3 linked regions of the Drosophila melanogaster genome follow. The protein of the gene in region 1 interacts with the protein of each later gene in a pairwise test. Each region holds a gene or a part of one and is shown on either strand. Other genes may lie near its edges.

Region 1 (4,876 bases):
GTAAATCCTGCATGGCCATGACTGAAGTCCGGTCCCGCTGTTGCACCATTCAGCGACCGTTGCTGGACCGTGACCTCCCAGCTCCCGAGTCTACATAATTCCATCCTATCAGTGGAGCTACATCTTCAATATCCTATCTTCGTCACCCATACTTGGGCACATTCCTACCGAACACCAAAGGACCTAGAGGTACACTTTTATTTTGTTCATGCCGCAATAACATGTCGTTCATTTTAACGGCTATTTGGAACTTCACTTGATAGAAAGTTTTGATTTTCGCAGTATTTTGCTGCTGATTACACTAGGAAACAGTAATATATAATATTGATATTTTTTCTATGTTTTATGTTTTCATCTTTCCTTTTAGCTATAAAATAATATGTGTAATCAGTAAGGCCATTCACGGAAGTGAACTGTTTGGAATCAAAAAAACCAAACTAGTTGAATCATTGCTCACCGCTATCAATAGCTTGGGATTACACTTGCAATAAAGAAATTCAAAGCTCTGTAACTAAAATTTTATTGGCGGTGATGAGCAATTTGCATTCCCGGGTATACCCAACATGTTTTATTGTGAATTTTTAGATTATGAATACTCATTAAATGTCAATTTAAGGCGCACTCTCAAGCTTAAAAACCCGCAGTACTGAACTATTCCTAATGGCTGAGTAGAAACATATAGTTGGATGATGAGTTTTTAAGGCTGAGAGCGGAGTGACTTGTTTTTCAAGTGAAAAGCACAATTTAGACTGCAAAAACCGGTCTTTTCCGCTGGCAAATGGCAGACAACAATTCTCAGTTCTCATACGTGATAAGCTTACATTATTTATGAATAATTTTTTTATTTTAATACGAGCGAAGTTTTGAGTTTTGTAAATTTATTAATATGTATCCGCATTTAAAGGGAAAAAAGCTTAAAGTTCCTTTCAAGATGGCTTCATTCTCTGCGTAAACAGCTGTATACGTGACTCTAAGAATAAATCTAAATATATACTATATATATATATATACATACAGCGCGATTAGTATCGATCGTCAATTGTGCGCTATGCGGAATCAAGTTCAGTTTCAACTAGGTACTCGAAGCGGTCGCATGTTCCGGTTTAAAACAAAGAATGAATTTCGAAAGTCATCTGATTGTTTGCATTAGTTTGCTTCTTCAATTACGGGTAACTAACTTAATATCCCAAACATACAAAAAATATTACTATTTTTCCCATTTGCAGATGGGAGCAACTATGCCTATGGAACGGCCACTCCCCCCCTCTGTGTATGCACAGGCTAGGCATTGGAACGTGCTTGAAACAGTCGTAAATAATATGCGGATCACTAAAAGGCCGTGGATAGTTACAAAAACTAAACCGTGCGGTGAGGTGATTAGGGAAACCTACATGTTGAGCCCCAACGAAGAGGAACTCATAAGGAGAACGGAAGTCATGCTCTTGCAAGCTCAAGGAAAATTGGAATGTTTACTTAGCCAGTTTCAACCGACATTACGACTTGGCAGTGTCTACAATAATCCCTTTCTAAACCCGGTCGGTTTTGGTTTTCCTGACTATAACGTCTTCCAAAATTTTCCGTTTATCCCGGAATTTAAGCCGCAACGTATTCCTCCCGAAGAAGATCGCAGTAATGAAAATAATCCTCGCCGAGAAGATCCGCGGGTAAATGAGCAGGATGCGTGGAATTTACGCCCTCAAGACGTCCCCAAAGAAAATGAACACATTCCCAATAGTGAATCGGATAGTGATAGATGGCTGCCAAATCCAACATCCACACACCGGCCTATCGTAACTTTGCCTACCCTGGCACCCCCAAACTTGAAGGATACGGAGCCCATATGGGTTCCAGTCCCAGAACCAACATCAACCGAGCGAAGTTCGGTCCCGCTGCCCACGCTCGCACCCAAAGGCGACGGAACTGACTCGACAATCGATGACTTTTTGGCAAAGGTGGATCTCACTGTCGCGGACATCAAAGAGGAGGATGGCCAGGTGGTCACCACAATCGTGGACAAACAAGGACGCGTTCTAAGTGCCAGTTTTGCACTGAGCAATGAGAACGAACAAGGGGGTGCGGCAAACTATCAAAGTCGCACTGGAAAATGATATACATAAATAAAGAGATATGTGAACAAGAAAAGCTCAATTTAAATTAACAGAAAAGTTTAGTATAAATAATATAAATAAATCTATGTTTACCGCATTGAACCTTCTTGTAGTGGCAATATAAGTATTGAAAACTTATATAGTAGTTTCTTGTTCATTACAGTATGATTCAACTTCTAAACGCAATTTAACAAAGTGAATTTCCAGGATCCAGAAGCAATTTGTTATAAGAAACTTATGAAGAAACTACAATATGTTTTTATGAAAGCTTTGGGAAACGCATTCTGTTAACACTCTTTGATAATGGCGACTTTGCGAAAACTGTTGATAACCTTTGAGTAGACACTGCGAATAGAAGCGACGAGGTCAGTCGATTAGAATTCTAAAATCAGTTCGATTCTGTCGATCGAAGTATTCACAAGTGTCGCGGAAAGATCGAATATGCAGTACTCCTATCTACTGGCAATCTGTGTCAGCTTGCTGCTTCTGAAGCTGAAGGTAGGTCATGGAAATCTCCAGAAATCTGAAACTGACGTCATCTTTCGCTCACAGGGAGCAGCTGCCACTTCTTTATCCGCCGAACCGACTCCGGAACTTTTGAATGCGGCCAAGCAAATAGGTTTAGATGAAGTTGGCTTGCGAGAAATGTGGCACAGCCAGCAGCCGCTGGTTATCAGAACTCAAAACGATGCTGGTCAAGTCACCACTTTGACCTATGAGTTAGGTCCGGATTTCAGATCGATTTTAAGACGCAAGGTCTCAGAGGGAATACTGCCTGCTAGGCTAGAGGATAATTCAGGCTCTAAGCCCCAGCAAGATTGGGAGTATGTGCCGAGTGCCGGTCGTCAGTTCCGTCCCATTGGAGATTCCAACTTCGGTACAGGTAATTTCGAGACAAAGATATTTAGCACTGAATTTCCGAGATTTCCGAATTGGGAGCTGCCAGCGGGAGTTACTCCGAAAGTTACAACCAAGACGGAAACGGATAGCTCGGGACGCAAGGTGACCACCACAACTAGAACTTATAGCGGCATTCTGGTCCCAGGCAGTAATGTATTCAAGCAGATATTCCCCGACATCTCCAGAGAGCCTGGTCCAATTAACACAGACTCAAACCATCCAGCCGAGAATCCTAACACCTCAGTCTTTTCCCCATCTCGTTCCCCATCTACTGGACCTATTGATTTCAACTATGTATATAATTCCCGACCAAGCCAAAGGGAACCCGTCTTTGTGCCAGTGATTGACTCAACCACCACGCAGCGGACTTCAGTTCCCCGGTTCAGTTCAGCATTACCAAGAGACGACGGATCAGATCGAGTCATAGATGATTATTTGAAACAAGTGAATCTGAGTGCCTCAGAAATTGAGAATTCGAATGGTGAAGTGGTCAAGACTATTGTGGATAAGAATGGCAGAATTCTAACTGCCAGATTTGTTCTAAGCTCAGTCAAAGGAACCAACGAAGGATCTCAGCAGCAGAGGCCGACCAAGTAAATAGCTCATTATAAATATTAATATATGGAAATCATCGCAATATTTTGTAAACAATGCTTAGCGCAGTTTAATAAATAAGCTTATCAGCCTGGGCTAAACCCAGAAATTGTAATAAAATTTCTAAATCAATCTATCACTGAAATATAACCTTTATATATGTAGGTGGGAATTTGATAAGGGTGTCTGATTTGATACATAACTTTCAGTTTAATCGAAATGGAATGGAAAATATTGTACAAACTTACCTGCTTATATATATATATATATATATTGGCAAATTTAAATATACATATGTTAGCAACTACAAAGCGCTCTAAATTATTCAAAAACTACTCGCATACATGTGTACATTTTGGGAAATTAATAATTCTTTATTTTCAGATCGTTGGCCAAATTAATTAAAAAGCATTAATAGTTTTGTATAGCTAATTTATTACAAACATTTTTTTTGTTTTCGCTAACAACTGAGCTGTAAAAAATAAAAGAAAGGAAAAATATAATTGGGATAATAAAAAAATCAACGAAATAATATAAAATAATAACATTTGGAAACTAAGCATGATAAACAAAACATTTCAGCAAGGGAAAAAAATACTTGCAGTCAAAAATAATTCAAGCATTAGGAGATCAAAATTATAAATATATAAAAAACGCAGCGCGGAACGAGAAATTCAATTGGAATTTCACGGCAAACTGATTAAAGCACGTCGAAAAAAACTATTGCATAATTTTGTGCGCAGCTCAGTGCAAAACGCATTTGGTGGCCGAAAGCAATGTGTTGGTCATGGGTGATTCGGTTGCAGTTCTTTGTAGTTGTGTGGCTGACAGCCTGGTGGTAGTTGTTCGGCTGACAAAAGTGCATTTCTGTCATTGTCTTTCTCGCTCGTTAGCATTGCATTAGTTGGGTTACATTTATAAGCCAAGCATGTCAGAGAAAAAAGAAACTAGATTAGTAAAAAAATGTTGTTTTATCGAGTGGAAATGGTGTGGAAATCGTGGTAAAAGCATTTTTTCTTAAGTCTAAATATGCGGGTTAAAGCCAAAAAAGCAAATAATAGTTGCGCATTGGCCTTTAGGCGTAAAACATATGTAAAATTCAACTACGCATAAAATATGTTACAAAAAGCATTAATATTTGAACAATTTCGGTGAGTCCTTTGTATGATTCTTTTACAGAATAAATATGTAGGTGTATAAATTTGTAAATTTTTTTTTATGAGATATTGTAATAAAGGTTTCACATCGCCAGCGGCTTTCAAATTTAATATAAT
Region 2 (5,560 bases), on another chromosome or scaffold:
GACTAGATTTTGTGATGTGCCGTGGTTGGATTTGTTCGCTGAAACGTGGTTATTCAATTTTTCTTCTCTGTTTAAGATCTCTTTCCTTTCCTTCGGGTTAATGTCCTCCATCTTGTTATCACTCTCTTCATCCAACATATTATTTTTTTCTTTTAAAACTAAACTCTCTGGCACCGCAAATATGATAAACATTATATTAATCAAGCCTGTGATGGCGGCAATCAAAATAACTGATGCGGACCCGTACGATTTCATCAAGTAATTCCCCAACGATGGTGAAAAGGCTATTCCTGCGCCAAAACTGGCCGCAACAATGCCATAGCCTTTTGAACGATTCTCCACAGTAGTTGTGTCTGCCACATAGGCCAATGAAGAGGAGTAAGTGCTGCCACAGATGGAGCTCACAGTGAGAATGGCGAAAAACCACCAACTCTTCAACATCATGAATGGAATTGGAGCGTAGGTGGTTGCCACTGCCAGTAGCATCACTACTTTCCGGCCATGAAAATCGGAAATGGCACCCATCACGGGCGTGGTCACAAATCCCAGGATTCCTCTAACTCCATAAACCAGTCCATCGACGAGAAGGACGCGATTCCCAAACGATCCCGACAATTTTTCGATGAAGGGAACGGTGAGAAGACCCCAGGAGAAGTAGTGCATAAACGTAACGATCACCGCGTGCCAAACACTTGCTTTTCCGATTCCAGAACGATTAACCAATACTTTCACCAGGGGTCTAAGAAACTTCAACTGCGCCATTTTTTAGTGTTCTGTCCGCGAACTGGCCAACGCCAGAATAGCCTGACAACTCCAGTTTAAATCCAATTTATACGCCTCAGTTTTATAGAAAATATAGTTATGGCTGCACTGTAAAAAACATGATACTCGAACTATACTACACTATTTTGTCGTTTAAAATATATATCGTTTAAACTAGAACTCCTCGCAGAAAGCAAAGAGATGTGTCAAAGAGATCGTAAGCAAAACGCAAATAAGAGAATTTAAAAGTTTGTTTTCAAAATAGCTGAAATTTTCACAAATATATTAACATTATTCATCCAAGCTATTAATAATAACAAACATTTCCCTCTCTTGTTAGTGAGAATAGAACCATAAGGTTCCGATTTACAAGCCAACAAGTAAAGCCATCTACTTTTAGAACTTTTTAAAGGTAAGCCATTAAAAATTATTTAACATATTTTCGTGTCTTAAAATATGGGTTGAGTATGCATGCCTAAACTTTCTATATGACTGTGAATAAATAGTGACATTTTTGCAAATCACAATCACAACTTAGAAGTGCGGATATGAGAATATTGTAAGTATACATATGTATACCAAACCGAAAAAGCACGCTTTAGTCGAGTTCTTCGACTATCACATACCCATTACATGGCTAGCAATGGAAAAACAAAAACAAATTTGTGAAGAAATTAATTCAAAATTGTGGACATGAAAGCTTTTTGCAGTTTGTTGCCGATACCAGTGGACGTGACCAAAATGTTCTCGTTTTGAGAAGTTCGATTTTAAAATCTAGCCAAGATCTAATCATTCTCAGCATACTCAAATCGAGATCAAACCATTCTCAGATTGCAAATGATTTTGCTTTCATTTGTCTTCCTCTCTTTTTTCAGACTCTTCGACAATCTTACACCCAATACTTCTTCCGAAAAATAAAAAATATAAACGTTGAGATCATTTTCGTCTCGAAACCAAGAAGGTTTATTTATTCACTGAGTACGCTGAGCGCAACCGACCTCTATTTTTTTGTTCTCAATTTTTCCGAGTGCAGGAAATGCTTACCTCCCCGCCCGTTTCGTACTTTTTATCTAGCCGATAATACTCTTTTAGTCTACAAGAAAAGGGTATAAATATATAAATACAAATCTCGCACTATTTGTCTGTATTAAATTATAAATTATAAAAATGTTTGGATATATTTCATACATATCGTTCGAGGGATAGCTTTTTATTATTGACTCATTTTATCTAATGAGTCATATCCCTTTAGGTTTGCAATATATTTTTTTTAGCATGCATAGTGATAGGCTTTTAAAACTTTGTTGCTTAAATTGCGTTATTTATTAAAGTAATAATTTGTAAATTATTGTGGAAATAAAGCCCGCTTGTTGTTTTTTTAACTTAATATCTTTAGATTAGACTCACCGGCCATAAGTTCGCTGTTTTGCTGATCCTGCAGCATTGGGATCACCGGCTCGCCGCCAGGTGGCGCATCTGGCATATCATCGGCCGTATGATCGTGACCGTGGGCGGTGGGGGCGTGGCCCTGGGTGGGCGGTGGCTCGGCAAAGAGCATCTCGAAGCGCAGCCGGGTCTTGATTGGACAGACCCTCAGCTGCTGTTGCTGTTGCACTTGTTCGAGCGGGCCACCGATCTCCAGGTGACGATATAGAGCATAAATTTCGGTTTTATGCTCGAAATGGCTCCAAGTGCCGTTATGGGCGGCGTATTTACCGTTGGCGTGATGGCAGCCTGCTTCTCTGACGTCACAGCAGCCGGCTGATTCAACAGCGACAATTTCGCTTTCGACGGCACCAAACTGGCGTAAATAATCTAAAAATAAGACGAGGTTTTTTTTCCTCTGTACACGGGGAGGCTGATGCCGCTTCTTCTTCTTGTTATTTGCCCTTTGCTTCTGCTGAAGCTGCTGCTTCTTCTTGCTATGTTCCCTTTCCTCTTGCTTTTTCTTCTTATCCTCCTCGCCTGCTAGATTCTCCTTCTTCTTACTACTCTTATCCTTTACCCCTTGCTTGTGACAGAGCTCCTCCTCTTTCCGTTCCGCGTGCAGTTGTTGTTGTTGTTGCTGCTGCTGCTTGTTTGACCTTTTCTTTTGGCCAAACTTTCTGCCCCCGTCGACGTCACAGCTGATCGATTTGCTGCACTCGCTCGGCGATTTATCCGCCTCCTGGCTTTGCCTGCTTTTTCGATTTTCCCAATTCACATTCGTCGTCGGCCGTGGGAATTCTGCTATCATAATTTGTATGCCACTTATGCCATAATTATCACACTCACTCTCACTCACACGCACAAAAACGCGAAAAGAGAGGCGGGCGCGCGCTTGTGTTGTTGTTGATATATTCTTTTTTCACCGCTTAACCAAGCTGAAAAGTTGAAAATCTTTACACACACCAAAAACACACACACACACAGACTCAGAAAACTTGGGAAATCGAATTTTCCGTACTATGATTTTCCGGCCATAAATCTGCACGGGCGTAAGTTTCGGAGGAAACTGCTGCAGAAAAGCTCCTGGTCGCAAAGGAAGAAAAATCGGACGGGCGAAGCGTTGCCAGACGATGACAGCGATTTCATTTGTTTTGATTTAGTTGCCGGAGCGATGTCACCTCAATAAGATACCGAAAAATACCAAAGGTATTTCGAGCTGCCAATCTTTTTTCCGACATCAAACTTTTCTAGCCATTTGACTTTTTTTTCAAAAGTATTTATAAATTTTTTTATATTTAAATGCACGAAATAAATACATATATCAATGTCTATATAATATTTGGAAATATAAGTTTCCTTCGTTGTCATTGGGTCTTTCGACTTCTCTTTATTGACGCATCGCCTTAAACAATTCCAACTAAAAATTTCCAATCAACACAGACAGCTACTTCGCTCCGCTTAGGCAAACAGACGCAGTTCATCGCGCGCCTCGATGCACTTGGGCGGCGAGGGAGTCTCGAACTCGCCCAGCTCGGCGTCGTAGTAGAGGGCGGCGCGGTAGGGACGCAGCTCCCATGGCACCTGCTGCTCCATTGTGGTCAGCGTGACGCCCAAATCCTCAAGCGTGGGGACACCAGTCAGAACCTTGTCGGTGACAGCCTCGCGTTCGATGCGAGCGGGATGCAGACCGCCAATCGGGGTGCCGGGGCAGATGAAGCTGTTCAGCTTGGCTTTCAGCAGGAAGGTGGGGTCCCAGCGCATGTCGTAGCGCATGTAGCCCCAGCGCTTCTGGTCCTTGCGCATCAGGCGGTGGAACCAGTCGACCAGCTCGCTCAACTGATAGCGTTTAGGTCTGCAGAGAATAAAGGAAATTAAGAAAATGTACATGGTACAAATACTTGGACTCGGAGATTGACTTACCCCACAGCCTGGTAGATGCGGCCAGCGCTGTCCGGATCCTTGGCGGCGTTGATGATGGCCTGGGCCACGTCCGAAACGTAGACGGGCTGCTTGACGGTCTTCTCTCCCTTGTGCCACAGCGGCATCGAGCGGAACTGACGGCGCCAGATGTGGGCGTAGTAGCGCAAGAAGCGATCCTCGGATCCGTAGATATCCGCAGGGCGGATGATCGTGGCGTTGGGAAAGGCGTCGCGTACGCGAAGCTCACCCTCGTACTTGCTTTTCAGCCACTCGCTGCCGCCCTTGACGTACAGATCCTTGGGATTGGCCTCCACGTTCAAAGAGGACAGGTGGATTAAGCGCTCCACGCCAGCCTCGCGCGCAATCCTGAAGAAATAAAAGTGGTTTACGTCATGCAAAGTTAGAATGAAGAAGTGGGCAGGCAAATAATGCTGGCTATGATGTTCACCTAGCGATCCTCTCCGCTCCGTTGACATGGACATCCTTGAACTTGAAGTTCTTGGTCTCGAAGTCCCTGCCCACCAGGTTGATGACCACGTTCGAGTGCTTGACTGCGTCACGAATGGAGGCGGGATCCTCCAGGTTGTAGAAGTGAAAGAGTACCTGGCCAAGATCACCGGTGACCTTAAGACGGATAACATCCGAATCGTCACCGCGATAGGGCAGGATCATCTGGGTGCCAGATTTGCCCAGTTTGTTGCAGACATAGCGGCCCACGAAACCGGTGGCACCGAAAACGGTCGCCACGATCCCATTGAAACTGCTACGTCCGCCAGTTCCGCGCTTCATGGCAGCCGGATTGGTGGTCTTCAGTGGACGTGGACCATCTTCCGGCGGCGCAGCAGCGGCGGAATATCCACGCAGGCACAAAACTCCAACCACGCCACTGCCGTGGTGCTCTAAGTATCCGGAATTGGACAGAGAATGAGCCAAAAGTTAGCCACAAACATCGTATTACATAATTGGATTGCCTGGCGGTTTTCGACCGCAGGCACGGTACTCACTGGCCAGCTGGAGATTACGGGTTAGTACTATGGCGGCCATTTCGCACCGGCACACTGGACCAACTCGATTCGGTTAATTTACGCTTAAAATCCTATTTTATTTCGGAACAGGCCAGTTTTTTATTTTGCCCCACGACAGTGTGACCGTGGCGTAGCAATTGGAATATACTAGAATTGACAGGTTGATATCAAAAACTACCGTCAAACAAAGCTGCCAGACTGAAGAAAAACATTTGATTTGGAAAGTAACAGTTTTTTCTATAGTTTTTAAAAAGCCCTGTTAACCTAAAGTTAACCCTAAATATGTAAATAATTGACCTCATAACCAATAGACCGTGTTCGTGGCCATTGCATACCAAACATATTTTAATTATCTGATTATCAAATATCGGTAAATGCTACTACGGTTATAACTACTATGATCTCGAATTATTCATACTATTTAG
Region 3 (4,405 bases), on another chromosome or scaffold:
AGTAACTGATGACGATTGGCAATGAATGAATGAAGCCCCAGGACATTCAGACAAAGATGAACATTGGTAATTTCTTTATATTTTTTTATTACACATAGTCATAATACAATTCGCAGGTGCTCAGCAAGTGGCGATCAACAGCGTAGGTAATCCACCTGTTCGCTGCTTTGGAAAGTGATTTCCCAGTACAATTTAGTTAAGCTTCAATACAGTTTTCCTTCGATTCGCGTAATGATGATGTGCATATAATTTAGCTTAAAATTACTCAAATACAATATTGCATATTTTAAAGTGCTGGGGCATCGCGGTACAACTAAACGAGACATTTGCTTTCTTATTGTTTAAAAAATAAAATGGTACAAATTGCGTTGAAAATTCAGCTTGGTTGTGATGGTGGAGCAAACCTAAACTACGAGAAATTTCGGCAAACGAATTCGATGGGAAAGCGAATGTGTGATGGGAATGGAAAGCAGGTGCGGACATTTACAAAAATACATATATGGTATTCGGCCACTGTTTAGAAGTCGTACGAGTCGGTCTCATCATCGCCCTTGCGTACCTTGAAGATTAATCTGTAGATGATTCCGGCCAACAGGCCGCCGGCAATGGGACCCACCCAGTAAACCCAGTGATAGGTCCAGACGCCCTGCACTACGGCGGGACCAAAGGACCGGGCGGGATTCATGCTGGCACCGCTCAGTTTGATCTGTAAATGGTACACTTATTAACCTCCAGTCGGAGAACTCCATCACCTCGTACTCACTGCACACAAATGGCCAGCGGCGATGGCCAAACCAACAGCCAGTGGCGCTGATCCCTTGATATCCTGGCGTCCAGGATCCGAAACAGCCTTGACCACGAAAACCAAAATAAAGGTGATCAGCGCTTCGATCAGCACCGCCTGTGCACAGTTCAGGGAGGGATCAAAGGAGGATACTCCCAGGTCGCCACCAGCCACTCCATCGAGTGCCACCTTTATCACAGCCGCTCCAGCAATGGCGCCCACGCATTGGACGATGATGTAGAAGGCAGCCTTCAGAATGCTGATCTCACCAACGATCAGGAATCCAAGGGTGACCGCCGGATTAATGTGACAGCCACTGAGGTGGCCCAAGCCCTGAGAGAGAGAACAAAATAAGAGGATATTCAAGAATATATTTATTATAAGGCTCAATAAAAGAGGAAAAAAAGTATGAAGATCAAATCAAGGAGGCTAAGGCCCAGTCGAACATAATGTAGATAATGGCCTATCTCCACCTCCATCGGCGCTTGCAAATGTCGAGTTGACAACGCAACATCTTAACCATAGCTGCGCTCAAAGTTTGCCCTTTGCCATGAAGCTGATTGTGCGATTTTCCGAATTTTCCATTGCACAATATCGTTGCATATCGAACTGCCAGCGGATACAAGCAATTTGTCAGACGTGAGATGCACTCGAGTGCATTTATTGTGTTTAGCGTGTCTGCAAAGTTCAGGTGGAGCTGGCTGGGAAGTAAAAGTGATTCGGGGTTCTGTTGAGTCATTGCCCGTGAAGAGATCACATGGAATCACTTAAATGGAAATCGCATTGGATCGGATCGCCTCGCATCGCATCGCATCGTATTGGATTGGATTGGATTGGATCAAGTGTTATGAATGGAGCCCGAAATGCACTGTTCACTCTGCGCCCAAGGTCGATGTGCAGGCTTCTATGTTTGATATCTCTTTCCAGCCGTGTTTCTCTACGTTTTGGTGATACGAATTCGATTTCGATATGGATTTCGCGGTTCGCAGTTCGCATTGGACGCACGGCCAATGTCGTGCGTCGCTGTGCGTTTAATTAATAAATGCGCAAAAAAGAAAAAAACAAAAAAAAATGCCCGTGTGTTGGCTGTTCGGCCACAAAACGCTAATTACAAATGCCGCCAAGAGCAAGTTCGAGTCGCGTTTTGCGGCCCAAACGGCAATAGGCCACAAATCCGAGCAGCCACTACAACTCGAACAACTTCTTGACATTTTGGTTATGCGCATGCGTGCAGCGCAATTTCGACTTCGTCTATACTAAGACTAAGTTGCCGCCTTTGCTGCCGCCACTCAGCCTGACCTAATCGTTTGGATCTAAAGCTTTTAGCCACAATAGTTTAGGCCTATTGTTCTCGACTCAATGCCTCCACTCGTCTTAGCTGCACACACTCGAAGAGTCGTGAAATTAATCAAATTTATTGTCGAGCCCGAAACCCATAATTAAATTTAATATATGCAACGAAAGCAATCGAGATCGACAGACCGGCTGCGTGTGAAAACCGCGAATGACGGACTGACTGAACTTAGACGTGAGTCATCGATGAAATATGGCTCTAATCGAGTTAGGCCTATGTGATTACGCTACGAGTTTATTACGCATTTCGAATGGGTTAATTACACTATGTGACTTTTTAGTTCTAAGCCGATCTAATTAAAAAATGTTAAATATATTTTTAATTTTTATGAATTATGAATTGCATTATGTTTTTCTGTGTATGCAGATAACTATACCCACATGCTGTGCAGAGCGATAAGTCGTACATAGTACCTATCTCTTATCATCATGCAGCGTCAGATTTTCTGTTTCTTTCTTTATTGGATTTCTTTCTAATATACTTGGTTTCGAAGCATTTAAGTCAGTCTGTTTTTGGCACTCGGATTTAAAAGATCTCAGAATCGCAGCAATGCAAAAATCTATTATATTTTTGGTACTCCCGTTGTGTCTGAGTTCAAGTTATTCAGCAGCCTGCGAGGTGAGTGAAGTAGAGAAGTGGTTTAGAAATGCTAAATATTTACATTCACATATCTTCTTAGGGCGTTGAAAGCGATTCCCAATGTGCTGCATATTGCTACGGTGTCTTGAATCCCTGCATCGCGAGCATGGGCAATTTGCAACGAAGGGTTGAAGCCTGTGAAGCAGCTGTTGCAATAGCGAGAATAGCCCTAAATGACCGAAGACTGGACAATTTTGGCACTTCAACGAACTTGCAGCTGGAAAATCAAAATACTTCGCAACAACTGCTGACACACGGTACAGCAATGGGCAGAAAACTGGAAGAAAACGAAATTTTCCAACAACTGGGAAGCAAATACTACTACATCGAAAAGGAAGAGAAGCTAAACTGGCACGATGCTTTGGATAAATGCCACAAAATGGGTGGCCATCTGGCCAGTCTGCAAAGTCAGGAGGAATTGGATAGATTCAATAACCAACTTAATGGCCTGAATCGCTACTGGATCGACGTGACCAATCAGTTCAACGAAAGTGAATTCGTTTCTGTGACCAAAGGATCGAAGGCCAATTTTTTGAGTTGGGCCGATGGGGAACCCACAAAAGATGGAGAGTGTGTGGATATCCGAACATTCAATGGGAAAACTACCATGAACGATAACTCATGTTTTGCCAATCTCTATTTTATTTGCGAAAAATCTATTGAAATATAATACAAAAATATTTATCTCTTTGAAGTTAATATTAGTTTTTGATATCTGACATTTACCACATGGTTTATGGAGGAAATAAGTATAATGTTTATTTCAAAACGAACAAGTTGGAATAAGACTTTATTTACGAATATACATATAATCCTATATGAATTGACCACTATTTCATTATTTTGTGTCAGCACTCTCCGTGCTCTCAAGGTTTTCCATTGGCTACAAAAAGTCTGGCAAGACTCTTCCCCCGATCGAGATATATAAGTTAAGAACCCTCTTCTTGCGCTCTTCGTCAGGACTCACCAGCGCTCGGCTCTCGTGTTTTCGGGCCCCGTCAGCAGGCGACTCGGGGCCTGTCTAGTAACATGTTCGTGTAAGTTACGAACCCTCTTCTTGCGATCTTCGTCAGGACTCACCAGCGCTCGGCTCTCGTGTTTTCGGGCCCCGTCAGCAGGCGACTCGGGGCCTGTCTAGGAACATGTTTGTGTATGTGTGCATTCGGAACAAGTGCCGTTGGTCGCACTCAGGGTGAGGGGTCAACGGGGGAAGCGGATATAAAAGCAGCGGGGCGGGAGAAGAGGCCCCAGTGTCGAACGGACACATAACGGAACCGCTAGCAGATCGCGAACTGAATCTTAAAATAAAGCTAATCGTAAACTCGAACCCTCTTAACTATCTTGACTATTATTTGGAGAACCACAGCATGTTGGTTGTCATATCGAGGTGAGGTATGCGGCAGCGAGTGCCGAGAACCCTGATGCAAGTGGAACTTGCGTTAACTGGCGCCCGAGCAGGGACCGGCAATGTCCGGCCGATAAAAGTGATACGAAAAAATTGTGGAAATTTGTGCGTAAAAATAGTGGTGGTGTGCATAAGTCAGATTAAGATCTGAAATCCATAAATGAAAAAGAAGTGCTGCGTGAGCTGTGTATAAAATGATAAAATAGCAATTACCCGCTGCCGG

Evidence for each region. Proteins that work in one complex are often made in the same cells at the same time.
Region 2: the proteins of CG15293 (region 1) and CG32425 interact in a two-hybrid assay, tested with the Drosophila melanogaster proteins (one large-scale study listed by BioGRID).
Region 3: the proteins of CG15293 (region 1) and CG7763 interact in a two-hybrid assay, tested with the Drosophila melanogaster proteins (one large-scale study listed by BioGRID).

Annotation. Positions count from the first base shown.
Region 1 is NT_033779.5:14,106,925-14,111,800, reverse strand, and holds CG15293 (uncharacterized protein), read left to right. Parts: upstream 1-2,353; 5' UTR 2,354-2,549; coding exon 2,550-2,606; intron 2,607-2,660; coding exon 2,661-3,605; 3' UTR 3,606-3,744; downstream 3,745-4,876. Other genes in the region: CG31769 (uncharacterized protein), read left to right, coding at 1,116-1,169, 1,227-2,108.
Region 2 is NT_037436.4:20,495,074-20,500,633, reverse strand, and holds the start of CG32425 (uncharacterized protein), read right to left. Parts: upstream 3,312-5,560; 5' UTR 3,209-3,311; exon of another isoform or gene 2,999-3,208; coding exon of another isoform or gene 2,170-2,998; intron 799-2,169; exon of another isoform or gene 763-798; coding exon of another isoform or gene 1-762. Other genes in the region: CG18281 (uncharacterized protein), read right to left, coding at 1-762; ND-39 (NADH dehydrogenase (ubiquinone) 39 kDa subunit), read right to left, coding at 3,649-4,042, 4,111-4,476, 4,559-5,009, 5,115-5,154.
Region 3 is NT_033778.4:11,411,869-11,416,273, forward strand, and holds CG7763 (uncharacterized protein), read left to right. Parts: upstream 1-2,641; 5' UTR 2,642-2,687; coding exon 2,688-2,756; intron 2,757-2,817; coding exon 2,818-3,447; 3' UTR 3,448-3,594; downstream 3,595-4,405. Other genes in the region: drip, read right to left, coding at 560-706, 764-1,117.